7 linked regions of the Xenopus tropicalis genome follow. The protein of the gene in region 1 purifies or fractionates together with the protein of each later gene. This does not show direct contact. Links are inferred from orthologs where the notes say so. Each region holds a gene or a part of one and is shown on either strand. Other genes may lie near its edges.

Evidence for each region.
Region 2: the proteins of gdi1 (region 1) and rab14 purify together in Homo sapiens (affinity purification with mass spectrometry; 3 studies listed by BioGRID and IntAct, counting the BioPlex papers as one, with this or other methods). This does not show direct contact. The link is inferred for Xenopus tropicalis from reciprocal best matches to the Homo sapiens genes GDI1 and RAB14.
Region 3: the proteins of gdi1 (region 1) and rab5b purify together in Homo sapiens (affinity purification with mass spectrometry; 3 studies listed by BioGRID and IntAct, counting the BioPlex papers as one, with this or other methods). This does not show direct contact. The link is inferred for Xenopus tropicalis from reciprocal best matches to the Homo sapiens genes GDI1 and RAB5B.
Region 4: the proteins of gdi1 (region 1) and rab10 purify together in Homo sapiens (co-immunoprecipitation; 4 studies listed by BioGRID and IntAct, counting the BioPlex papers as one, with this or other methods). This does not show direct contact. The link is inferred for Xenopus tropicalis from reciprocal best matches to the Homo sapiens genes GDI1 and RAB10.
Region 5: the proteins of gdi1 (region 1) and rab8a purify together in Homo sapiens (co-immunoprecipitation; 6 studies listed by BioGRID and IntAct, counting the BioPlex papers as one, with this or other methods). This does not show direct contact. The link is inferred for Xenopus tropicalis from reciprocal best matches to the Homo sapiens genes GDI1 and RAB8A.
Region 6: the proteins of gdi1 (region 1) and rab35 purify together in Homo sapiens (affinity purification with mass spectrometry; 3 studies listed by BioGRID and IntAct, counting the BioPlex papers as one, with this or other methods). This does not show direct contact. The link is inferred for Xenopus tropicalis from reciprocal best matches to the Homo sapiens genes GDI1 and RAB35.
Region 7: the proteins of gdi1 (region 1) and rab5a purify together in Homo sapiens (affinity purification with mass spectrometry; 3 studies listed by BioGRID and IntAct, counting the BioPlex papers as one, with this or other methods). This does not show direct contact. The link is inferred for Xenopus tropicalis from reciprocal best matches to the Homo sapiens genes GDI1 and RAB5A.

The regions. Positions count from the first base shown.
Region 1 is NC_030684.2:153,597-157,096, forward strand, and holds part of gdi1 (rab GDP dissociation inhibitor alpha), read left to right. Parts: coding exon 1-37; intron 38-377; coding exon 378-477; intron 478-695; coding exon 696-830; intron 831-1,305; coding exon 1,306-1,504; intron 1,505-1,665; coding exon 1,666-1,797; intron 1,798-2,901; coding exon 2,902-3,001; intron 3,002-3,500. UniProt on the Homo sapiens protein: Regulates the GDP/GTP exchange reaction of most Rab proteins by inhibiting the dissociation of GDP from them, and the subsequent binding of GTP to them. Promotes the dissociation of GDP-bound Rab proteins from the membrane and inhibits their activation.
Region 2 is NC_030684.2:9,756,468-9,759,967, forward strand, and holds part of rab14 (ras-related protein Rab-14), read left to right. Parts: intron 1-977; coding exon 978-1,155; intron 1,156-1,239; coding exon 1,240-1,306; intron 1,307-1,716; coding exon 1,717-1,804; intron 1,805-2,022; coding exon 2,023-2,053; intron 2,054-3,109; coding exon 3,110-3,287; 3' UTR 3,288-3,500.
Region 3 is NC_030678.2:137,846,644-137,850,143, forward strand, and holds part of rab5b (ras-related protein Rab-5B), read right to left. Parts: intron 1,645-3,500; coding exon 1,493-1,644; intron 583-1,492; coding exon 460-582; intron 1-459. UniProt on the Homo sapiens protein: The small GTPases Rab are key regulators of intracellular membrane trafficking, from the formation of transport vesicles to their fusion with membranes.
Region 4 is NC_030681.2:154,267,814-154,272,063, forward strand, and holds the start of rab10 (ras-related protein Rab-10), read left to right. Parts: upstream 1-1,450; 5' UTR 1,451-1,598; coding exon 1,599-1,725; intron 1,726-4,250. UniProt on the Homo sapiens protein: The small GTPases Rab are key regulators of intracellular membrane trafficking, from the formation of transport vesicles to their fusion with membranes.
Region 5 is NC_030677.2:104,435,911-104,439,410, reverse strand, and holds part of rab8a (ras-related protein Rab-8A), read right to left. Parts: intron 3,438-3,500; coding exon 3,348-3,437; intron 2,111-3,347; coding exon 2,045-2,110; intron 158-2,044; coding exon 107-157; intron 1-106. UniProt on the Homo sapiens protein: The small GTPases Rab are key regulators of intracellular membrane trafficking, from the formation of transport vesicles to their fusion with membranes.
Region 6 is NC_030677.2:151,500,747-151,503,512, reverse strand, and holds the end of rab35 (ras-related protein Rab-35), read left to right. Parts: coding exon 1-88; intron 89-182; coding exon 183-307; intron 308-1,354; coding exon 1,355-1,483; 3' UTR 1,484-2,266; downstream 2,267-2,766. UniProt on the Homo sapiens protein: The small GTPases Rab are key regulators of intracellular membrane trafficking, from the formation of transport vesicles to their fusion with membranes.
Region 7 is NC_030682.2:45,585,571-45,589,070, forward strand, and holds part of rab5a (ras-related protein Rab-5A), read left to right. Parts: intron 1-811; coding exon 812-934; intron 935-3,500. UniProt on the Homo sapiens protein: The small GTPases Rab are key regulators of intracellular membrane trafficking, from the formation of transport vesicles to their fusion with membranes.

The sequences.
Region 1 (3,500 bases):
TGGAGGAGAGAGTTCATCCATCACTCCCCTGGAAGAGGTATATTCTACCCCATATCACCCCCCAAGGAGGAAATACTTTCTATAGCTGCAATAGTAACCGCTGTACCCACAATCTTTTCTCTATCTCCTTGGCACATTATCCAGCAAGTTGCTGCCCAGTGCCCTACACCCATTATGTACCCATCAGCACCCTTACCCCACCAGTAGGGACCGCACTTCTCTGTAGCTTTCATTATTATTCATGACATGTTCCTACCATACTGTTGATTGATACTGATTAAGTCCAGCACTGTCCACAAGCAACTCCACTACCCCCCCCCCCCCACACACGCACACACACACGCACTTCTCCTTTTTTCTGGCTTTTCCATTAACAGCTCTATAAACGATTCGATATGGCTGATGGCCCCCCAGAGAGCATGGGAAGGGGACGAGACTGGAACGTGGATTTAATCCCTAAATTCCTCATGGCTAATGGTAAGCTCACATGCAGAGGGTGGGGGGATTGCATTGTGAATGTCGGTGTGTGGGGGCACCCTTCTATACAGCTTGGCAGTAAAGTGAAATCCTGTGGATCTACCAACAGTTCTGCTTTGGGGGTCCCAATCATTTTGCACCTTAGAGATTATTATATGGCAGGTTTGAATCTTTCATTTCTGCACAGTGGATTTAGGGGACCCCTCTCTCTATTTAAGGTCAGCTTGTGAAGATGCTGCTTTACACAGAAGTTACCCGTTACCTGGACTTTAAGGTTATAGAAGGAAGCTTTGTATATAAAGGTGGAAAGATCTACAAGGTGCCATCTACTGAGACAGAAGCGCTGGCATCCAGTAAGTGCCCTGGGGTTCTGGACAACTGGTGCTGGGTTGGGCATGGGCAGGTTCCAAAGGGTTCCAAGGTGGGTCTAGAGAAGATGATTAGGACTGCTGCTGAGATGGTTTGGACAGAGGCAGGTTCCTGGGATTCCAAGATGGTGGCATGGCCAGTTGAAGAAGTTCAGGTTCTTCTGATTCCACTGTAATGACTGGGCCTGGAAGATGAATAGCTCTGCTGCTAAAAAATTGGGCACAAGTGGGTTCTTAGGGTTCTATGATGGTGGAAACTCATTAGATGTGATGCTGGGGTGGATAAGGCAGGTTCCTAGGGTTCCAAGATGGGTCTAGAAAATGTTTAGGGCTGATGGACAGGGTCAGGTCCCAGGGTGCCAGTGATGGCTGGGCCAAGACAATAATTAGATATGGTGCCATTATCATATGAGCTGGTCCTGTTTTCTTAACTTTATTCTTTTCTGTAACTTCAACCCAGATCTCATGGGGATGTTTGAGAAGCGCCGGTTCCGTAAATTCCTGGTATTTGTAGCCAATTTCGATGAGAATGATCCCAAAACGTTTGAAGGGGTGGATCCAAAGGACACAACCATGCGTGACGTATACAAGAAGTTTGATTTGGGACAGGATGTCATTGACTTTACTGGGCACGCTCTGGCGCTGTACCGAACCGATGAGTACGCTGGGGCAGGATGATGGGGCATTCTGTAGGGTTTGGGCATAAGCTGGGGTTATTCCATCTCACTGCAGAATTCCATGTCATTCTATCCAATGAGCAGTCATGTCCACACTGTGACTAGATACAAACTGATAGAGGCTCTTTTCTTCCCATTTTCAGCTATTTGGACCAACCCTGCCTAGAAACTATCAATCGCATTAAGCTTTACAGCGAGTCTTTGGCAAGATATGGCAAGAGTCCCTACTTGTACCCTTTGTATGGGCTGGGGGAGCTGCCACAGGGCTTTGCCAGGTATGTATATATTTATTCTCCTAGTGTCATTAGTGTCTCCTAGTGCTCATATCCACCCCTCGGCCCCTCACTCCATCTCTTGTGCCTCCATAGAGAGAACTTGCCGCCCTAGGCCTCGGCCTTTATGGCCTCTCCACAAATCCAGGCCTGCTCATATCCATCCCTCTGCCCCTCACTCCATCTCTTGTGTCTCCATAGAGAGAACTTGCCGCCCTAGTCCTCGGCCTTTATGGCCTCTCCACAAATCCAGGCCTGCTCATATCCACCCCTCTGCCCCTCACTCCATCTCTTGTGTCTCCATAGAGAGAACTTGCCACCCTAGTCCTCGGCCTTTATGGCCTCTCCACAAATCCAGGCCTGCTCATATCCACCCCTCTGCCCCTCACTCCATCTCTTGTGTCTCCATAGAGAGAACTTGCCGCCCTAGTCCTCGGCCTTTATGGCCTCTCCACAAATCCAGGCCTGCTCATATCCATCCCTCTGCCCCTCACTCCATCTCTTGTGTCTCCATACACTCCTCCCCCTCTCATCCAAGAGCGTACAGGCCCCTCCCCTTATCATGGCTTCCCATAACCTTCCCCCCCACTCCTCTGCCCCTCACCCCATCTCTTGTGTCTCTATACGTTCCTGGCCGATTCCTTCGCTCCTCTCAGAGCAGCTGCTTGGTTGTAACCCCATTACTACTGCCATTTTAACGCTTTGTGCCTTGCTACCCCTTACATTGGGAATGGCACCCTGAATTCTCCCGGTGAGAATCCCCCCTCAGAACGAAACTCACAGACCCCCTCTTGGGGCACTTGCACAGCCCCTAATCTGGGAACTGGAACTTATATAGCTGTTTACCCACCGTAACCTGCAGCAGTTCACTTAGATCGTTAGCTCTATGGGGTAGGGATCTCCATCTTCTTGTCTCTTTGATCTCTAATGTAACTGCATTTGTTTTTATTTGTATTTATTATTGTTCATTACTGTACATCTAAGGAAACATGTATCTAAGGAAACATGTTAGGGTTACACACATACATGTGACCAATACGGGTAAGTAGTACATTACAGAGAGTACACTCTAACCCTAATACCCCGGCTGATGTGTTTCTGCCGTAGGCTAAGTGCAATATATGGAGGAACCTACATGCTGAACAAATCCGTGGATGAGATTGTAATGGAGAAAGGCCGAGTGGTTGGCGTTAAATCAGAGGGAGAGGTAAGGTTTTAGGGGCATTTTCAGTAAGTCAGAATTTCAGTGGGGTTGTTAGAAGGGTTGCAGTCAAGGCTGTTAGTGGGTTCAGGTCCCCATGGCTTCTCACTGTCACATCTAGCTCTACTGCCATTGTCTTGCCCTGCTGCATTGCTTTTGCCTCAAAGTATCTGTCTTGCCCTTGTTGCCATCTTGCAGTGCCGTCACCACCTTCCTCTAATGTCTGCATCCTGTTTCCATCTTGTCCTGCTATCTGTGTCATCTGTGTCTGTGCCATATTGGCTCACTTGTCTACATCTTCTCTCCATCTTGCCCAGCTGTCTCCATCTTGTACTGTTGTGTTCCATCTTGCCATACTGTCTCCATCTTGTCCTACTGTCTTTATTTTGCATCTGTCTCCATCTTGCCCTACTGTCCCCATCTTGCCCTACTGTCCCCATCTTGCCCTACTGTCCCCATCTTGCCCTGCTCTCTCAATCTTGCCTTACTCTCTCCATTTTGCCCT
Region 2 (3,500 bases), about 9.6 Mb from region 1:
GAGCTTACAATCTAAGGTCCCTATCACATTCCCATCAGTCCCTGCCCCAGTGAGCTTACAATCTAAGGTCCCTATCCCATTCCCATCAGTCCCTGTACCAGTGAGCTTACAATCTAAGGTCCCTATCACATTCCCATCAGTCCCTGCCCCAGTGAGCTTACAATCTAAGGCCCCTATCCCATTCCCATTAGTCCCTGCCCCAGTGTGCTTACAATCTAAGGTCCCTATCACATTCCCATCAGTCCCTGCCCCAGTGAGCTTACAATCTAAGGCCCCTATCACAGTCACACACATTAGGGGCATAACTGTATATACATATAAGTACAATATGGCAGGTACTGTACCTGAGCCCAAGGCTTTGGAAGAAACCATCTCCCCCCCCTGGTGCTGTCTCTTGGCACTGCCCCCGCCCAATATCCCATAGCCGGGATTAAACCCATCCATTATGTATGAGCCGCCCGACTCCCCAGCATCTGCCATGTTGTTTTTTTTTTTTTTTAGTTAATAATGTTTATAGTGATTTTTGTGACTTGACTTGCTGTTTATTTCCCGCTATCAACGATTTTAACCCATGTTTTACTGGTACTGCCAGTAGCAGTTACTTAGTAGTGCCATTGTCCGTACATTTCACTGCTGGTTCTGACTACTGAGGCCTGTAAAGAAGCGAAGCAGCCCTGAGCTGTGTATGGTTAAAGGCAGGGCCCAAGGGGCAGCCGAGTGGAAAATGGAAAGTAAACATGTGTAAAGGGGAAGCTGTCACAGCAGGAAGTGCGTAGTTCTGTAAATAAGGGCAGGTTACCTATTGGGCCGGATCGGCTAATGTTAGTATTGGGGGGAGGACACTGTGGGTAAGTTACCGTCTCCTCCCCTGAGGCTATGGGGGATACATATTAACCCTAAACACCTGGAATTGATACACCCCCATGGGGGCATTGCTCCATCAGACCTGCTATAACCCAATCTCTGTACCCGCACAGTTATGGCCGACTGCCCCCATACGATCGGCGTGGAATTCGGCACCCGGATCATCGAAGTCAGCGGGCAGAAAATCAAACTGCAGATCTGGGACACAGCGGGGCAGGAGCGGTTCCGGGCCGTCACGCGGAGCTATTACAGAGGCGCGGCCGGGGCACTTATGGTCTATGACATCACTAGGTGAGTGGCGCCATCCTGCCCCTGGTACGTAGCCACTTGGCCAGCGCTGGTTGCTAATGAGATCGCTCTATTGGTTGCTTGCAGGAGAAGCACATACAATCATTTAAGCAGTTGGCTGACAGATGCACGGAACCTCACCAATCCAAATACGGTAAAGTCCAACCCAAAATCCACTGGCTTTGTACTGTATGTAGGGGGGGGGGTACTACTACTTCCTGTCCTAAACCATCCAACCATGTGACACTTTCATATGGAATGGATGAACCCCAGGGGTTTCCGTATGCAGGGCTAGAAGCCAAAAAATCCAACAATTCTCTATTGTTAGTGGTTTCTGGGACACTTGCAGTTTAAGACTGCTAATACCAGACTTGCAGCCCACTCGGTAGGTCAGTGTCAGCGACCCTTTGTGCACTTCCTGCATTTAGTTAACCCTATGGTTGCCGACTGAGACTTTCCGAGAGAGCTGCTGAGCCAAAAGCCCAGTTTTAGCAGTCTAAAACTGCAAATATTTAAGCAACCACTAACAGCCAATAACAAGGGCATTTCCCCTCTCGCTCGCAGGTTATCATCCTTATAGGAAACAAAGCAGATCTAGAAGCTCAGAGGGACGTTACCTACGAGGAGGCAAAGCAGTTTGCTGAAGAGAATGGTGAGTTCTTACCTCATTGCCATAGGGAGCTAGGACCCTGAGCCAACCCCATCTGTGGCCAAGTCTGTAGGATTTACCCCAATGTCCCCCAACAGATTGCACCGGGGAGGGTAAATGCTACTTGCTGATTGGCTGCTTTGGGTTACTAGCCCCGGTTTGCCCTTTGTTGATTGGTTTGTCAGATGGTACAGTCATTTTTGTTTTTGTATCTCCCACAGGTCTCCTGTTCCTTGAAGCAAGTGCAAAAACGTAAGTACATTTTGCTTTTCTTATCAGGTGGCCAATCCTATCTTTGTTCCTGTAAAAACCTCCAGAACTGAATCCTGGGAATGGTACATCCCAACATCCCCCCCCCCCCCATGTGCCCAGTAAATAGGCCATTCTGCCAATGGAAAGAGACCTTTCGTTTTTATTTCTTGCCCTAAAATGCTCAGAACAGTGACATTCAAAGCACTTTCTGATTGTTATTATACATGTTGAAGCCACCTTGCTTGTGGGAGGGGTCCCGTAGGATGCTTGTGGGGCCCTGTAGGATGCTTGTGGGAGGGGCCGCCCCGTAGGATGCTTGTGGGAGGAGGGGCCCTGTAGGATGCTTGTGGGAGGAGGAGCCCTGTAGGATGCTTGTGGGAGGAGGGGCCGCCCCGTAGGATGCTTGTGGGAGGAGGGGCCCTGTAGGATGCTTGTGGGAGGAGCCCCCCCGTAGGATGCTTGTGGGAGGAGGGGCCGCCCCGTAGGATGCTTGTGGGAGGAGCCCCCCCCGTAGGATGCTTGTGGGAGGAGGGGACCCCCCCCCCCCCCGTAGGATGCTTGTGGGAGGAGGAGCCCCCCCCGTAGGATGCTTGTGGGAGGAGGAGCCCCCCCCGTAGGATGCTTGTGGGAGGAGGAGCCCCCCCCCCGTAGGATGCTTGTGGGAGGAGGGGCCCCCCCGTAGGATGCTTGTGGGAGGAGGGGCCCCCCCGTAGGATGCTTGTGGGAGGAGGGGCCCCCCCGTAGGATGCTTGTGGGAGGAGGGGCCCCCCCGTAGGATGCTTGTGGGAGGAGGGGCCCCCCCGTAGGATGCTTGTGGGAGGAGGGGCCCCCCCGTAGGATGCTTGTGGGAGGAGGGGCCCCCCCGTAGGATGCTTGTGGGAGGAGGGGCCCCCCCGTAGGATGCTTGTGGGAGGAGGGGCCCCCCCATAGGATGCTTGTGTCTCCCTTCCTCATCCTCAATATTGCAAGATTTGCATCTCTCACAATTGAATGCCCCCCCCCCCCCCCCGGCTGCTCCCACAAACCCCCCCTGATTGGCCCTTTCTTTCCTTCCAGAGGGGAGAATGTGGAAGACGCATTCCTGGAGGCAGCCAAAAAGATCTACCAGAACATCCAGGACGGGAGCCTCGATCTGAACGCAGCGGAATCTGGCGTACAACACAAACCGTCCGCTCCCCAGGGCGGCCGACTAACCAGCGAGCCCCAACCCCAGAGAGAAGGCTGCGGCTGTTAGTGACGTCCCCCCCCCCCTTCCTACCCCCGGCGGTGGCAGTTCGTTTCTTGACCTTCCCCCGCTCTGTCTGTCCCAAGCAGTATTTTGTTACTGCCCCATTATCTTCTGTACATTCTATTGGTTTAAATTAAAGGTGGGAGGGCGGGGCTCTGCTAAGACGACAGTTTAACCCGATACTAAACTGCTAAATAACTAGATGTATTCAGGTTATTC
Region 3 (3,500 bases), on another chromosome or scaffold:
TCTCATTATGTGCCTTTGCATAAGTGAACATGGCCATCGTGTCTTTTTCCTCTTCAGTTCTCTTTTTCTACTGTTCTTGGTTCATTTCTTTTAAATGTTTTTTTTTTTTTTTAAACTTATGGAAGCTAGGCCCAGACTGGCAATCTGTGGATTCTGGCAAATGCCGGAGGGGCTGCTGTAAGATGCCATAGACAGTCACTATTTATTGGGCTGGTGGGGGGCTGTTTGGGATTCTGTGTACATGAAATGCCAGAGCTTAATTTGAATCCCAGTCCTGGTCTGATGGAGGTAATAGGACAAACTGCTTAAGCAGGTATTTACTGCTTGTATGTTTGAAAAATATTTTAAGCTACAAATTTTATCTTCAGAACCTCTAACTAAATTAAATTTGGTACTGATACATAAATATTAGAGAATATACAATATGAATTAAGAAAGGTGACAGAAAGTACTACTTACTTCATACTCCACCATCCGTTTACTAGTGAGGTCAGCCTTGTTCCCTGACAAAGCTATCACAATGTTAGGACTGGCTTGCCTCTGTAACTCTTTTACCCATGTCTTGGCTCTGGCAAATGTTTCCTGCAGAATAAAATGAATACAACTGTGTAGATTAGTCAGCACTCACCACTCTTCTGTTGTTCATTATTCGGTGCCCTTTATATGTTGTCTGCACATCAACTGTATCAAAAACTAGTACTAGGTGTCACAGCACCATCAAAACTAACAAGTTTAAAAAGCTTTTATTGGAAATTCATGGCTCAGATTTCCACCAGCAAGCAGTGTGCTGCCGGAGATCTAAGCCATTGATTCCCAAAAGCTCTTTAAACTTCTTACTTATGATGGAGGTCTACTACTAGAATACAAATGAAAAGCAAACTCAAAATGTAGATGTGTTTCAAATTAGAAATGCTATAGGAAAGTGTTCATTGAATAGTGCAATTCAAAGCTTTTGTGGCAAATACAAAATACAAACTAAGTAATTTGCTGCTGGTTTGCCAACTAAATCAGAATTAAAAATGCAGCTCATTATGTTAGAGAAAAAGTAAGAAGGAGATCTCTACCCTGTAGAGCAGGGATCCCCAACCTTTTTTTTATTCATGAGCCACATTCAAATGTGAAAATACTTGGAGAGCAACACAATCATAAAACATTTTCCTGGGGGTGCCAAATAAGGGCTGTTATTGGCTATTTGGTAGCCCCTATGTGGACTGGCAGCCTACAGGAGGCTCTGTTTGGCAGTACACCTGTTTTTTATGCAACTAAAACTTGCCTCTAAGCCAGAAATTCAGAAATAAGCACCTGCTTTAAGGCCACTGGGAGCAACATCCAAAGGGTTGGAGAGCAACATGTGGCTCACGAGCCACTGGTTGGGCATCACTGCTGTAGAGCAAGTACACAATGAAAAATCCTTTCTAGGACGAGGTAGTCCCATGCTTTCAGCAGCACTTCAGTGCTAGAGTAAAGGCCTTTTGTGAATATAGTCCCTTACCTGGTTTGTGATATCATATACCACAATGGCAGCCTGTGCTCCCCGGTAATACATGGGTGCCAAGCTGTGGTATCGCTCTTGTCCTGCTGTATCCCAGATTTCAAATTTTACAGTTGTGTCATCCAGGCAGACAGACTGTGTGAGAAATGCCGCTGTGAAGGAGATTCAAGGAAACAAATCAACAAATCCTTTCTCCAGCCACACAGAGCCCAGTGTTCAACACTAACTAATGGGAATCTGCACTAAGGTATCTCATGCTATTAAATCCTACAGCTGGCTCTATTTATGATGCAATTTAATCATGCTGTTGATAGTGATAATCTTTGAATGTGTGTGAGTTTTTGTTTTTTTATTTGAGGTACATTCTACTGCCTTATCTGCTTTCTATTAGGTGTCCTCCTTAGGGGGGAGTTTACTAAGTATTTCCTTTTTATTCCTCCACAATCCATGTTTTTTTCCTTTTTTTTTTTTTTTTTTGCACTAAAACGAATACAAAACCTTGCCATGTAAAAGGTAAAAGTTGTTGAGGTCATGTTGAAGTTAGTGGTAGTTGTCCTATGCAAATTGTAACAATCTTTATTTGTGCTGTTATAGAATATGCAGGAAAAAACATGAAAAATTAATGGTTTTGGTTCTGAATTTTAAATCATTCATGCTTTTTATATTTGGATCTTTTAATAAATGACTAGACATTTGTGGTTTTTGTGGAAATGTGTTTATTCCCGATTTCAAAAAACTCTAAAACCACTAAACTCAATATGTTGATAAATTAGCCCTTAAGGTTTAGATTTAGCCAAAACATCTCTACAGCTTGTCTCATTACTGCATCTGAACAATTTGCTGCTTAAAGTGCAAAGTTCTTTGAAGCCACATATGCCACATGTTAAGAGTTACAATTCAGTTACGCTGAACTCCAAGAATCAAGCTGGTTTCATTCATAACTGCTATTTGATTGCTTCTCAAGCTTTTAAAGAAAAGAGGACTGTCAAGTCTTTCTTTTCTCCATATTGGCTTAAAATGGACTTGTTATTTTTTTGAGGTAGCAAAAGTTTAAGCATCAACAAAATTACTTTAGTTTCATAACTAGAAATACAGAGGAACATATTTAGAAAAAATTGCAGAAACAGATACACCTTTAAGGGAAGCTAGGAAATACCTTTCAAAAGAAATATAGTATTTACAGTAATATAGTAAGTTATGGTGAAAAAAGACACAGGTCCATCAAGTTCAATCTTTAAGCCTATATATAACCTGCCTAACTGCTAGTTGATCCAGAGGAAGGCAAAAAAAACCCCATCTGAAGCCTCTCTAATTTGCCTCAGAGGGTAAAAATTCCTTCCTGACTCCAAGATGGCAATCGGACCAGTCCCTGGATCACTGGTAAATAAAGCCTTAGAGAGGTTATTTTACGATCCCCTCATATTTATACACAGTTATCATATCCCCCTTAAGCTCCTCTTTTCCAACATAAAAAGACCCAGTTGTACATTCATCTCTTATTTAGAAAAAAGAAAAATGGAGATTGCCACAGTTCGCTGAACAACAAATTTCACAATACCCAATACATAGATTAACTATGCCTCTACAGCAGTGCTGTCCAACTTCTGTTGTACCGAGGGCCGGAATTTTTCCGACCTACGTGGTGGAGGGCCGATAATGGAAGCCAGTTTTGACCACTCCCCTTTTTGAAACCGCACCCACTTGAAACCACACCCATGTTATCACATGACCATACCCATATTAATGGTTGTAGTACAGCAAAAGCCTGCCATACTCTGCCTGCCCTACCCTGCCTGTGTGTGCCATACTCTGCCTTCACTACCCTGCCTGTGTGTGCCATACTCTGCCTGCCCTACCCTGCCTGTGTGTGCCATACTCTGCCTTCCCTACCCTGCCTGTGTGTGCCATACTCTGCCTTCCCTACCCTGCCTGTGTCTGCCATACTCTGCCTTCCCTACCCTGCCTGCGTGTGCCATACTTTCACTGTGTGTGCCATTCTTGGCTGGTT
Region 4 (4,250 bases), on another chromosome or scaffold:
GCTACTGTGTATGGGGGGGCACTGTGTATGGGGGGCACTGTGTATGAAGGGCTACTGTGTATGGGGGGGCACTGTGTAAGGAGGGCTACTGTGTATGGGGGGGCACTGTGTATGGGGGGCACTGTGTAAGGAGGGCTACTGTGTATGGGGGGGCACTGTGTATGGGGGGCACTGTGTAAGGAGGGCTACTGTGTATTGGGGGCACTGTATGGGGGGGCACTGTATGGGGGGGCACTGTGTAAGGAGGGCTACTGTGTATGGGGGCACTTTCTATGGGGGCATTGTGTATGGAGGGTACTTTCTATGGGGTGCTGTCTATTGGGCCATCGTGGGCACTATTTTAACTATTTTAAAAATGGGGTGTGGCAATTGGGGCGTGGCCAAAATTTTTGGGAGGTATGCACTACCCCTGCCCTATGCCTCCTCTCCAGTTACTGGCATGGCTGATGTTTCCCTGCCCTCTGTGCCCAGTCCATGAGGTTATTGTAGTTTTGCAGCTTCAGCAAAGAGGAATAGAAAAGGGAGCTTCTGTCTACCCAATTGCATGCTGGGTAATGTAGTTTTATATTAATCTTATTCTGTAGGCTAATTGTAAGAGACAAACTACATTACCCAGCATGCACTGAGATGCAAGGGGAAACAAATCCTTGACTAGTTCCCAAACTACAAACCTGCCAAGACTCCAAAAACAGTCCAAATTTGTACCTTGTTGGGTTTGTACTTTGGAAACCCGCCCAATAAGTAGCCCAATTTGGTGGAAAACCCGCCAACCTGGCAACCCTGCCCCTCCCCGTCTGACTTTGGTACCGAACCGTGATTGTCATGTAACTGCCTAATGTATAAAGTTGGATTAAGAAAAAAAAAATCCCTTAGGAGACAGGCGGTAGCGCGCAAACCATCAGGCTGAGGGGAGTGGCCGCCATTTTGTTGACTGCATCGCAAGGTGGGCGGTGCCTGCTCTGTTGGGACGCGCAGAGGCCAGCATTCAGCCAGTGTATGGTTGCGCGCTCCCGCGGTGGGCGGTGCCTGCTCTGTTGGGACGCGCAGAGGCCAGCATTCAGCCAGTGTATGGTTGCGCGCTCCCGCGGTGGGCGGTGCCTGCTGTGTGGTGACGCGCAGAGGCCAGCATTCAGCCAGTGTATGGTTGCGCGCTCCCGCGGTGGGCGGTGCCTGCTCTGTGGGGACGCGCAGAGGCCTAGGGAGAGGCCTGCATTTAGCCAGTGTATGGTTGCGCGCTCCCGCGGTGGGCGGCGCCTAGCTGTGGTGAGTACGCGGAAAGTCTGTGGGAGGGATAGCCATTTTGTCCGGAGTCTCCCAGCGAGGCCGGAGAGGAGGGGCTCAGAGAAGGTGGGAAGAGGCCGGGACAAGCAGGCGGCACTTAGCGAGCCGAGAAGCGCACTGAGCTGGGTGTGGGGCCGCCGGCTTTCTTTCTCTTTTCCCCTGTGTGTGCGTGTGCTTCACCCGGTGCTGGGGGCACCCTCCGGCCGGACAGTCTCCCGTCCCGTCCCCGCTGGGCCTCCCCGCCCCCCCGTGTATGAGGAGCCGGCCGAGCCGAGGCCGCAGCCCCAGGCGGAGGGAGTGAGACGGAAACAGTGCCCATGGCGAAAAAGACGTACGACCTGCTCTTCAAGCTGCTGCTGATCGGGGACTCCGGGGTGGGCAAGACCTGCGTGCTCTTCCGCTTCTCGGACGATGCCTTCAACACCACCTTCATCTCTACCATCGGTAAGCGCAGGGGGGCCCGGGTGGGCTCATTGGCTATGGGGGGGGGGGGCTTTGCTCCTCCCCTTGGGTCATCTGAGAGGGGCAACTTCGGGTTTGATGGGTAACTGACAGTAGGCAACTAACCTACATGGGGCATTGCCAGCTGTCCCTATGGGCATATTGACTGGTCCCTATGGGCATATTGACTGGTCCCTATGGGCAGCTGATAGGGACATATTGACTGGTCCCTATGGGCAGCTGATAGGGGCATGTTGACTGGTCCCTATGGGCAGCTGATAGGGGCATATTGACTTGTCCCTATGGGCAGCTGATAGGGACATATTGACTGGTCCCTGTGGGCATATTGGGCATATTGACTGGTTCCTATGGGCAGCTGATAGGGGGACATTGACTTGTCCCTATGGGCAGCTGATAGGGACATATTGACTGGTCCCTGTGGGCATATTGGGCATATTGACTGGTTCCTATGGGCAGCTGATAGGGGCATATTGACTGGGCCCTATGGGCAGCTGATAGGGGCATATTGACTGGTTCCTATGGGCAGCTGATAGGGGGACATTGACTGGTCCCTATGGGCAGCTGATAGGGGGACATTGACTGGTCCCTATGGGCAGCTGATAGGGACATATTGACTGGTTCCTATGGGCAGCTGATAGGGGGATATAGACTGGTCCCTATGGGCAGCTGATAGGGGGATATTGACTGGTCCCTATGGGCAGCTGATAGGGGCATGTTGACTGGTCCCTATGGGCAGCTGATAGGGGCATATTGACTTGTCCCTATGGGCAGCTGATAGGGACATATTGACTGGTCCCTGTGGGCATATTGGGCATATTGACTGGTTCCTATGGGCAGCTGATAGGGGCATATTGACTGGTTCCTATGGGCAGCTGATAGGGGCATATTGACTGGTTCCTATGGGCAGCTGATAGGGGGACATTGACTGGTCCCTATGGGCAGCTGATAGGGGGACATTGACTGGTCCCTATGGGCAGCTGATAGGGACATATTGACTGGTTCCTATGGGCAGCTGATAGGGGCATATTGACTGGTTCCTATGGGCAGCTGATAGGGGGACATTGACTGGTCCCTATGGGCAGCTGATAGGGACATATTGACTGGTTCCTATGGGCAGCTGATAGGGGGATATAGACTGGTCCCTATGGGCAGCTGATAGGGGGATATTGACTGGTCCCTATGGGCAGCTGATAGGGGCATGTTGACTGGTCCCTATGGGCAGCTGATAGGGGCATATTGACTTGTCCCTATGGGCAGCTGATAGGGACATATTGACTGGTCCCTGTGGGCATATTGGGCATATTGACTGGTTCCTATGGGCAGCTGATAGGGGCATATTGACTGGTTCCTATGGGCAGCTGATAGGGGGACATTGACTGGGCCCTATGGGCAGCTGATAGGGGGACATTGACTGGTCCCTATGGGCAGCTGATAGGGACATATTGACTGGTTCCTATGGGCAGCTGATAGGGGCATATTGACTGGTTCCTATGGGCAGCTGATAGGGGGACATTGACTGGTCCCTATGGGCAGCTGATAGGGACATATTGACTGGTTCCTATGGGCAGCTGATAGGGGGATATAGACTGGTCCCTATGGGCAGCTGATAGGGACATATTGACTGGTTCCTATGGGCAGCTGATAGGGGCATATTGACTGGTTCCTATGGGCAGCTGATAGGGGGACATTGACTGGTCCCTATGGGCAGCTGATAGGGGCATATTGACTGGTCCCTATGGGCAGCTGATAGGGGCATATTGACTGGTCCCTATGGGCAGCTGATAGGGGCATATTGACTGGTCCCTATGGGCAGCTGATAGGGGCATATTGACTGGGCCCTATGGGCATATTGACTGGGCCCTATGGGCATATTGACTGGGCCCTATGGGCATATTGACTGGGCCCTATGGGCATATTGACTGGGCCCTATGGGCATATTGACTGGGCCCTATGGGCATATTGACTGGGCCCTATGGGCATATTGACTGGGCCCTATGGGCATATTGACTGGGCCCTATGGGCATATTGACTGGGCCCTATGGGCATATTGACTGGGCCCTATGGGCATATTGGGGACATTGACTGGGCCCTGTGGGCAGCTGATAGGGGGACATTGACTGGTCCCTGTGGGCAGCTGATAGGGGGACATTGACTGGTCCCTGTGGGCAGCTGATAGGGGGACATTGACTGGTCCCTGTGGGCAGCTGATAGGGGGACATTGACTGGTCCCTGTGGGCAGCTGATAGGGGGACATTGACTGGTTCCTATGGGCAGCTGATAGGGGGACATTGACTGGTCCCTATGGGCAGCTGATAGGGCCTGGTAGGTCTGTGCCACACACAGACAAGTTAGAAGTAAGTAACCATTGTACTGCCCCATGTACAGACATGTCAGTGGGCTACAGACCTTATGTTACCCCTGTTAGGAGTCACCTGCTCACAGAGCCATAGTCGCTGGGATTCGTCTCCCTGTTCCCAGCCCTCACTGGTGGATTAGCACTTTCCTTT
Region 5 (3,500 bases), on another chromosome or scaffold:
GCTATGAAACCCAGACCAGTGTGGGAAATTAAGTGTTAAATACCTGCTTTTTAGTACCAATATCTGGCACAGGAGCACAAAGCAGCCATTAAATACTTATACTTACCATCCTCTTATCCATTTTTGCTTTGATGTCTCTTGCCAATGTAAAAAATGCCTGTGAAAAGATAGAAGAACTTGATATCAAAAGCAATACTATGAGTGGGTGATTCCTTTAATCTCTTGCCTATATAGTACAAGTACTAGACAACAATAAACACTCTTTGGGGCTGATTTACTAAGACACGAATTCGAATTGGAAAAATTCCGACTGGAAAACGAACATTTTGCGACTTTTTCGTATTTTTTGCGATTTTTTAGTCGCCTTTACGACTTTTCGGAAATTGTCGCAACTTTTTCGTAACCATTACGACTTGCGCGAAAAAACGAGAGTTTTTCGTAGCCATTACGATTCGCTCGTATCTTGTCGCGACTTTTTCGTATTGAGCGCTCGTAAGCGGCGGGCGAAACTTTCAGACTTAGCATGATTTTGGAAGCCTCCCATAGGACTCAATGGCACCCTGCAGCTCCAACCTGGCCCAAGAAAAGTCACCATGCTGAAGCTTGAATGAATCTGAATCTTTCGTACTCGGCGCGAAAGCTGCGAAAAAGTCGCGACTTTTCGCGCAAGTCGTAAGGCTACGAAAAAATCGCAACATTTTGCGCAACATTCGGAATGGCTATGAAAAAGTTGCGTCAATTTTCAGAAAAATTGCAAAATACCGATCATTACGGAAAAAACGCAATCGGACGCATTCGGCCCGTTCGTGGGTTAGTAAATGTGCCCCTTTGTATCTCTATATAGAAAGATGAAAACACTGGCAAAACACTGACCCCAAACATGAAGTAAAAGTGGAGGTTTCTTAAAAACATACAAAAATTTATTTTAGATTCTCCAGGAATAAATACATACATAAATCACAACACACAAAGATCAGACACATATAGGTTATTATTTCTGGTTACGGCCCCCTAAACTCATATTCATACATACACTTGCATAGGTATTCCACAAATCTTACCATAACCTGGACCCACTTAGATGCAGCTTTGGGCCTCCATTTTGGAACTACTATTGTGTCCGCATAAAAGTATCATACCAACACTATAGATTCTATGTTTCAGGGCTCTATTTTGACATGTGGAACTGTTACTAAGTCCATTGCACAAAGGGTTAAAAAGGCAAAACAGACAACAAAAAGGCCATATGGAAGGGTTGTTATAAATATTGGGAGTTAACATTCTACCCCAAAAAATATCCCGGCGTTTTCTGGTGCCCCATTGGTTGTCCTATAGTGCTGGGTAATGATTGCATCAATGAAGAGCCATCAGGCACAGGGTACAGTACCATGTTGCGTGGTTTTTTCTCACTACACAGCACTACAGATTTTTCTTTTTTTTTTGCCGATACGAAAGAATATGGAAAGTTGCAGAAAAATGCTCGGACTTCTATAAAACACCCACTGCCTTTTTGACTATAGAAAACCTATGACTATATTGTTTGCTGACCACTCTTCACTTTAACCTGTTTTGATTGTTAAGGGAACAGTAACACCAAAAAATTTAAGAGTTTTAAAGTAAAAGAAATATAATGTACTGTTGCCCTGCACTGGTAAAAGTTGTGTGTTTGCTACAGTAACTCTACTATAGTTTATATAAATAAGCTGCTGTGTAGCCATGGGGGCAGCCATTCAAGCTGGAAAAAAGGAGAAAAGGCACAGGTTACATAGCAGATAACGGATAAGCTCTGTAGAATACAATAGTGTTTCTGTTATCTGCTAAGTGCCTGTGCCTTTTCTCCTTTGAATGGCTGCCCCCATGGCTACACAGCTGCATTCTTTATATAAACCATAGTAGTGTTTCTGAGGCAAACTCACCAGTTGTACCAGTGCAGAGCAGCAGTACATACACTTGAATTTTTTTGGTGTTACTGTTCCTTTAAGGGTGTCTACCAATGAACATTACTCTCCCCGCTTACTGAATTAAGCACGTTCAGTCTACTTACATTTTCCACATTGATATTTGCCTTTGCACTTGTCTCCATGAACTTAATTCCATATTCAAGGGCCAGCTGAAATACAAACAGTGATATTGCTAGTTATTTGAGGCACTGTACTATTTGCTTGTTCGGGGGCTCACAGTCCTTCCCACTACAGATAAAAAAAAACTGATTTATATTTCAATTAGCGCTCGCGCTCACCCAGTTAATTAGTAGGTTCGGGTGCTTATGCCGCAAACCTTTCGCTTATCACTTTTTTCTCTCTTTGTTCTGGGGAATTTATGCTCATATGTAAGTTCAAAATGCAGGATGCTCACTCACCACTTCCTTTTGGTGGCCCGGGTGCCATGCCCCAGACCCGCAGCATGGGGAGATTCAACTTCAATAGCCAGCACAAAACAGCATGCACTCATCGGACTCCAGGACAGCGGATAAAATTTCAAAAAAGCTTTATTAAGGATAAAAACCTAACCGTTAGGTTTTTATCCTTAATAAAGCTTTTTTGAATTTTTATCCGCTGTCCTGGAGTCCGACGAGTGCATGCTGTTTTGTGCTGGCTATTGAAGTTATTTGAGGCAGAAAAAAAAAAATTGGTAATGGATATGCTTCTATATTTTCTCTAAATATTTTAAACAAATGCACCACATTCTTATGTCTCTATCCTTTAGCCTCATTCTTTCAATATTCACCTTACTACATACTGGGTAATATTCTAAACTATATGAACAAAAAAATGCACCAGATTCTATTTTCCTGAGGTTAATACTTAAATTAAAGTCCAAGGAAACTGAGAAACAATTGCTCAGCCTTTCCCATTGCCCAACACCATATTTATTTTATGCAAAACTGTTAACATGTATTAACATGACCCTGCCCTGAATATCCTTGCACATATATCCCACTGACAACATCATTCCTCTCTTCATTCTTCCTTTAATATGTCAAGTCTAATTTGGACTACAGGAGCACTTACATTAAGCACATGTGACACCAGCCAAATAAATAAATTATATATATATATATATATATATATATATATATATATATATAATATATATATATTTTTTTGGGGGGGGGATGATTGGCGAGTGGATATGCACTATTTTTATGCCCTGGCAGAGTAATGCTCAGAGTTTTCTTCTACTTAAAAGGGCTAAAGATTGGTTATTGTTATAAAGCATTTGGAAACTTATTTTTCATATATTTTTAAATGTACCCAAACAGGACCTCATAGCTCGTTTACCTATTCACAGCTTAATGGGTTTTAAGCTCAGATATCAGAACACCAAAACTGTTAAATAACTCTTACCTTTTCACCCTTCTCTTTGGAAACTTGTCGCTTTTCATTCACATCACATTTGTTTCCTAGGATCATTTTCTCAACATCAGAGGATGCATGCTGGAAGGCAAAGAGTGTAAAGGTTTATATTTGCATCGAGAACTTGTCAGTCAGAATAGTATG
Region 6 (2,766 bases), on another chromosome or scaffold:
GATGTGACCAGCGCAGAATCATTTGTCAATGTTAAACGATGGTTACATGAAATAAACCAAAATTGTGATGATGTATGTAGAATATTAGGTAAGTTTCTATTTTAACTTTCTAATTAACATCACTCCAATATAATGTTGGTGGGGTGGCGAACATTTATTTATTTGTTTTCTTATTTATTTAGTGGGTAATAAGAATGATGACCCTGAACGGAAAGTGGTGGAGACAGAGGATGCCTATAAGTTTGCTGCGCAGATGGATATCCAACTGTTTGAGACTAGCGCCAAAGAGAATTTAAATGTTGAAGAGGTAGGTCAGTTGCTACCTGCATTATACTCTGCTACATTTCCTGCTGGAGATTTTAGGGCACTGCTGCTTTTGTGGCACTGGATTGTGTAAGGGACCACATAAGAAAATAGCTGCAAAATGATTTCAGGCATGCAACCCTTATCTAAAGCAGGGATAATCCCAAGAAATGTGGTAAGGCTGTCAAGTGGTATGTAAATTAGATTTTTTTAAGGAGGTTTTCCCCTTTTTAAAGGGTGAAAAACACTTGTTTTGACATTCAGTTAGTGTCTACACCTTTTGTACATAAATCCATCTAATCTGCCAAATATATGTATTTTTTACAGACATACAGGATGCCTCAGGTTGAGAGGAAAATATGATGGTCTACCTCTCACTCATAGGTAGCATTTCCCTACTCTCTTAGGCTGACACAGCATGGGAAATGCTTAAATGGCATGCATAATGGCATGAATATTTTGTGCTTTTTAGAACTGATCCCAAGCCATGGCTATAAGTCCCTAACGTGCCCTTTCCAGAGTCAGGAAGGTGCATCTTGCAGGAAAGTGGTTCAGAGGGATTGTTTACATTTGAGTAAATGGAGATTGTGATCACTTGGGGGGCCATTTTACCAACGGATTTTCATTTATTGTTCTGATTTAGATTTTTTAGGGCTAAAAGTCGCTGAAGTCACGTAGAAGTCAATAGTAGACTTCCCTTCCCTGGTTTTTCTTTGCTTCTAAACTTTGATTCTGTGTTTTTTGTGTGACAGTTAAAAAAGTTGAGGTTTTGGTGCAAATAAAAAAAAAAAAAAGTCGTAGTTACCACTTTTCTGTGACTTTTTCCCACACATACACAAATGTCAGCCATTCCTGGAGATGAGTTTATTTTTAATGAAAAAAAAAGAGAAAAGTTAGGGTTTGCTGTAGCTGCACCAAGGGGCAGATTTACTAAGTCCGTGGCATTTCTATTCCTTTACATTCAGCAGTTGCTAGTAAAGGGGTGGGTTTTTCAAATTGTTTTTAGAAGTGTACACTTTTAGCATATTTCTAATTTCTCTTTCTTTTCTAGATGTTTAACTGCATTACTGAGCTGGTCTTGCGAGCAAAGAAAGACAACCTAGCAAAACAGCAGCAGCAGCAACAGAATGATGTGGTGAAACTAAGCAAAAACAGTAAACGGAAGAAGCGATGCTGCTAGGTGCAGGCACAGCACAGAGAGGCTGCTCTCAATCCGAACATTCGCTCTTGGAACAAAGAGTAGTAGTGCCATGGGCAGTGCCCAGCTTTCAGGGGTTGGGGCATATTCTTAGTTATGTGCTGTTTATTTAAGAATTTTCTCCAAGTTTTCTATTGAGGCGCTGGCACCCTTTTTATTGCTGTGCCAAGAAGGTGTTGTGGATTCTTGTCATCCCCTGCCACCCCTGCTCTTCCAGAGCGTCTGCTAGGAAAGGACGGATGCAGTGCCTACCCTATGGACTGATTAACAAGAGTCTGTACATACTGTATATTGTGTTAACCAGCCTCACTCCCCCCCCTGCTGCTTTCGCTTACACCTTATCGCCAGTCTGTCATGTGTGAATATGAACTGGTCACTTTTTAAAGTTTTTAGAACAGATGGCGTCTTAACTATGCCCTGCCCCTGGTTTCTTTACTACCTGATATGGTAAGATGGACCAGGCCTTGCTGTTAATTCACTTCTCTGCCCCCTTTCCTCACCATATTTAAAAACATGCTAAAAATCAACCATGCAGCTATTCCATTGTCCAGACCAGGATTTACGACTTCCAGCGTAATTCTGTTTTTAAACAACGGGTGGGTGGATCCCATCAATATTTCCACCTATTCAAGAACCATGTGAATTTAAGTAAAAAATTATGGAAAAAATCTGCCAAATTTTTGTACCATCTTGTTCATAAATAGGAACGAACTAATAAAATGTGAACCTCCGGGTCCTGATTTAAAGACAAAAAGAAAAAAAAAATGTAAGCATTGTTTGTGTAGCAACTGTATTGGTCCTGTGTGAAGAATCAAACCTCACAAGTGCTGGGCAGACAAACACTGAGACGGAAATTCATAGAAATATTTTATTTCAGTGGCTTTACAATAGAAAGCATAATTTGTACTAAAATAGGACATTTTTTCTGTATATATATATTAGAAAACATCTGTATTCATTAGAAAATGTCTATGTACACAGAGCATTTGTCAGTACATGGACTGGAAGGAACAGGTTTCTATGGTTCCGCTGTGCTCTGTCTGGAAGACCAGAGGTAGGACTCTGTTCCCTGCAACCCAAGCAGCTTGGGACATAATTAAGAAACCTGGAATTTCTGCTGCTAGTGTAACAAAGGAAGCTTGGGAGTGACTAGAAACAGGTAGCGCAAAGTGCAAAATATTCACGAAGGAGAAAATCCTCTTAACAAAAGCATTTTGATCTCACAAGTAGAAAATACATTTAATTGGAACAAAATACTAACACTT
Region 7 (3,500 bases), on another chromosome or scaffold:
TATATATATATATATATATATATATATATATATATATATATATATATAATTAGAAAAAAAGACCAGCAACACCGGATCTATTGCAAACAATTAATTATATATTGAAAAATACATGAACAGCATATATATATATATATATATATATATATATATATATATATATATATATATATATATATATATATATATATATATATATATATATATATATATATATTATAATATAAATGGAAATGTAGCTAAAGTGTGATATGCATCTGTAATGTATCTCACAATTGTACACTGGTTTTTTTAAACCCACTTACTAATGCAGTGTATTGGAAAAGCTTGAAGGAACACTCATGAGTATTGCTCAGTTTGCCTTAAAGTGGTTTTTCACATTTGAATTAACTTTTAGTATGCTGTAGGGAGTGCTATTTTGAGACAGTGTGCAGTTAGTTTTCATTTTTTTATTTGTGGTTTTTGAATTATTTATCTTTTTGTTCAGCAGCTCTCCAGCATACTAAAAGTTAACTTAAAGGTGAACCACCACTTCAAATTTCACAATATTATATGCATTTGCAAAGCACATTTTAAAGGACAAGGAAAGCCTGTTTCACTAGGGGGTGCCAAAATGTTAGGATCCCCAAGTAAAATCAGTGCTTAAGTTTTTTGCATGTGTGTATAAACCTTATATAATTTTATGATTTACTAAGATGGAGTTGCTCTCTCTCTTCCCCCTATACTATATTCTGTAAGCATCAGCACAATTGTGTAGGTGGGACAGGCTTAGTTTATTCAACTTCACGCACTCTTTTTTTTTTATTTACAGGAATCATTTGCTAGAGCAAAGAACTGGGTAAAAGAGCTGCAGAGACAGGCAAGCCCCAATATTGTGATAGCTTTATCTGGTAACAAAGCTGATCTGGCCTCAAAGAGAGCTGTGGATTTTCAAGTAAGTACCGGTCTCTGGTTCCGCTTTCAATTGAACATCGTGGGGGCTTGACAATGTTCTAATTGGCTGAGGCACTGTTTACATTTGTCCTCCAGCCTAGCAGAATGTTGTTTCGCCCCAAGCTAGTAAGATTAGTGTGAGGTGGGGGGAGGCAGGGGTGTACATCTGTTAGTGGTGCTGGGGTTTACGTAGGCATAGTGACACATTCCTGTTAAAACCTGTCACTATCCCTTAAAAATGGACTATGGGAGATGGCCTTCCAATTATTTGGAGCTTTTGGAATATTCAGTTTCTAGATAAGAGATCCATACCTTTATAATCTACTAAAAATTCTGTAGCTAATTAAATTATTCTTTACTACCCTACTACTACTACTACCCCTCAGCAATGTGTCTCTCTCAACTTTATGCTGTAGTAGGATCTGTTGAAAGGCAATAAGCTTTATTACATTATGAATGCAGCAGTGCCACACGCAGGCAATGCTGTATTTATGGGGGTTGCTGCTGGTCTTTGTGCTCTAAAATGAGGTGCAGAGACCTGCAGACGTTCACCATGGGATGAAGGGAGGGAGCAAAAAAAATGGCACCCAAGTTGGTAAATGAGCCATATCGTGTAGGTAAAGGGACATCATACCAATGGGTTTGACAAAACGGCCAGTCTAAAGCTGCCCTAATTACTGCATGGAGCGAAACAGGAGTGGCTGCAACTGAATTTGATTTTTATTTTCAAAAATGATAGAGTTTTTAATTCATTATGTTTGTAAAGTTCCAACAGATACAGCTCACATTTTTTACCCAGCCCTTTAGCAGGGAAGATGCCCCAGTAGCTCCCCATCTTCTTTTCTATTAATTTTAAGCACATGCTCTGTGCTGCTGTCACTTTATGAGCTTAGGGACCGACACACAATTTACTGTATATAAAGAATATAAATGTCACAATATAAGGCTGGTTAGTAATAATTACAGTTAATTACTACATTGCAGCTCTGAAACCAGTGTACTTAGCAGAAATTTAATAAACAGTCCTGTAGCATCAGCTTATATTATAGGCCAACCTCATTGTCTGCTTCTGCACAGTTGCTTAGAACATACTCAGCATTTGCGTGTCGCAGACACTTTCCAAAATGGAGAGCTCCTGTGACAAGTTTGAAGTACTGGATCATTGCTGCTATTGAGATGCTGAAAGTTTAGGGCTGGTGCAGAAAATATACTATATAAATTATGGTACTTTTGTCCATATTAATTTCTCTAGTGGAGCATGTAATGGTGTGGAGAGGTCAGAGAGGCCCGAACACACCTGACACAAGTGAAACTATTTACTTTAGTTATATGATCACATTGCAAATTAGCTCTTAAGACTCAGTAATGTATTTTGGCTATGTTAGTCCTTTTGATAACTTTGTCTTGTTTTAATATAGTTCACTTCCTCAGGCTTATTAACCGTATCCGCATCATATACCTATTTAGGCCAGGTATTTGATAGCATCTGGTTTCCTGATGAATGACCACAAAATGCAACACCCAAGGTGGCTCACCAAAATGACATCCTTTCTCAAATTCTATCACCGTGTATAGAATAGAGCTGAGAATGCAAGTACCTCAAGATTCCAGCTCATTTGTATGTGAAGGCAGGAGAGCTGCTTGTTTTTAGTTCTTTCTTCCCACGTGTACAAACCAGTCATTTACTACCGTGCCCTTGTTTACTCTTTGCCTTTTAGCCTGGTTCTCCTTTACCCAATGCTCATTTTAGCTGGGGTATTATGCATTTCATTTTTACATAAGCTTCACTTATTTACTTTGCTCCAGTCTATGTATCTTTCATCTGAAAAGAATGTTGCTATGGTTGATCATTTTTACTTTGATAGACCCCAGGAATTTGGATTAGTATTAGAAGTTTTCTTCCTCCCTTTATTTTTATTTTTCCACTGCCTTTGATACTATAGACCCCCTCTCATTCCAGTACTCCAGTGGTTTAACTCTATTTACCTTAAATCGCATGCTAGTGATTAGGATGGGCAATTTCAGGCTGGAATTAGCATAACATTTGTGGGTTGCAGGCCTGCAACCTTACTGTGCCCCACTTCCAGCTGTCTCTATTTATAGTTGCGCGCCTGCCAAACCCTGTCCCTTCATGATGTTAGGGATAGGGGCAGATCTATAAATAGAGGTGGATTGTTGGGCTGGGAGCGGGCAGGTTAGGGTTGGATGCAAGTGAACTTTTTCTTGTCCCGCACATCACTACTAATAAAGCTTATGTCACCATGTGCATCAATGGAACAGGAAAGGGGACACCTACATAGACTAACAAAAAACTGTGCCACGTAGGTAAGTGATGCACATGTTGTAGCGCCCATTATTAAGCAGAAATTCTGGAGGAAAATGCTGCATACTGATTTGCACTTGCCTTTCATATTGCACTTTATCATCTCTGGGACCATCTTCACTGTTACACAGACATGACTGTGTCTGCTTTATCTTTTGCACTCTTGTATGTGTATACAATCTTTCCTTGGGTACCCTGCCAATGCTGCATAGAATTAGTAGCAGGCAATCACTGCAAGTGCTTG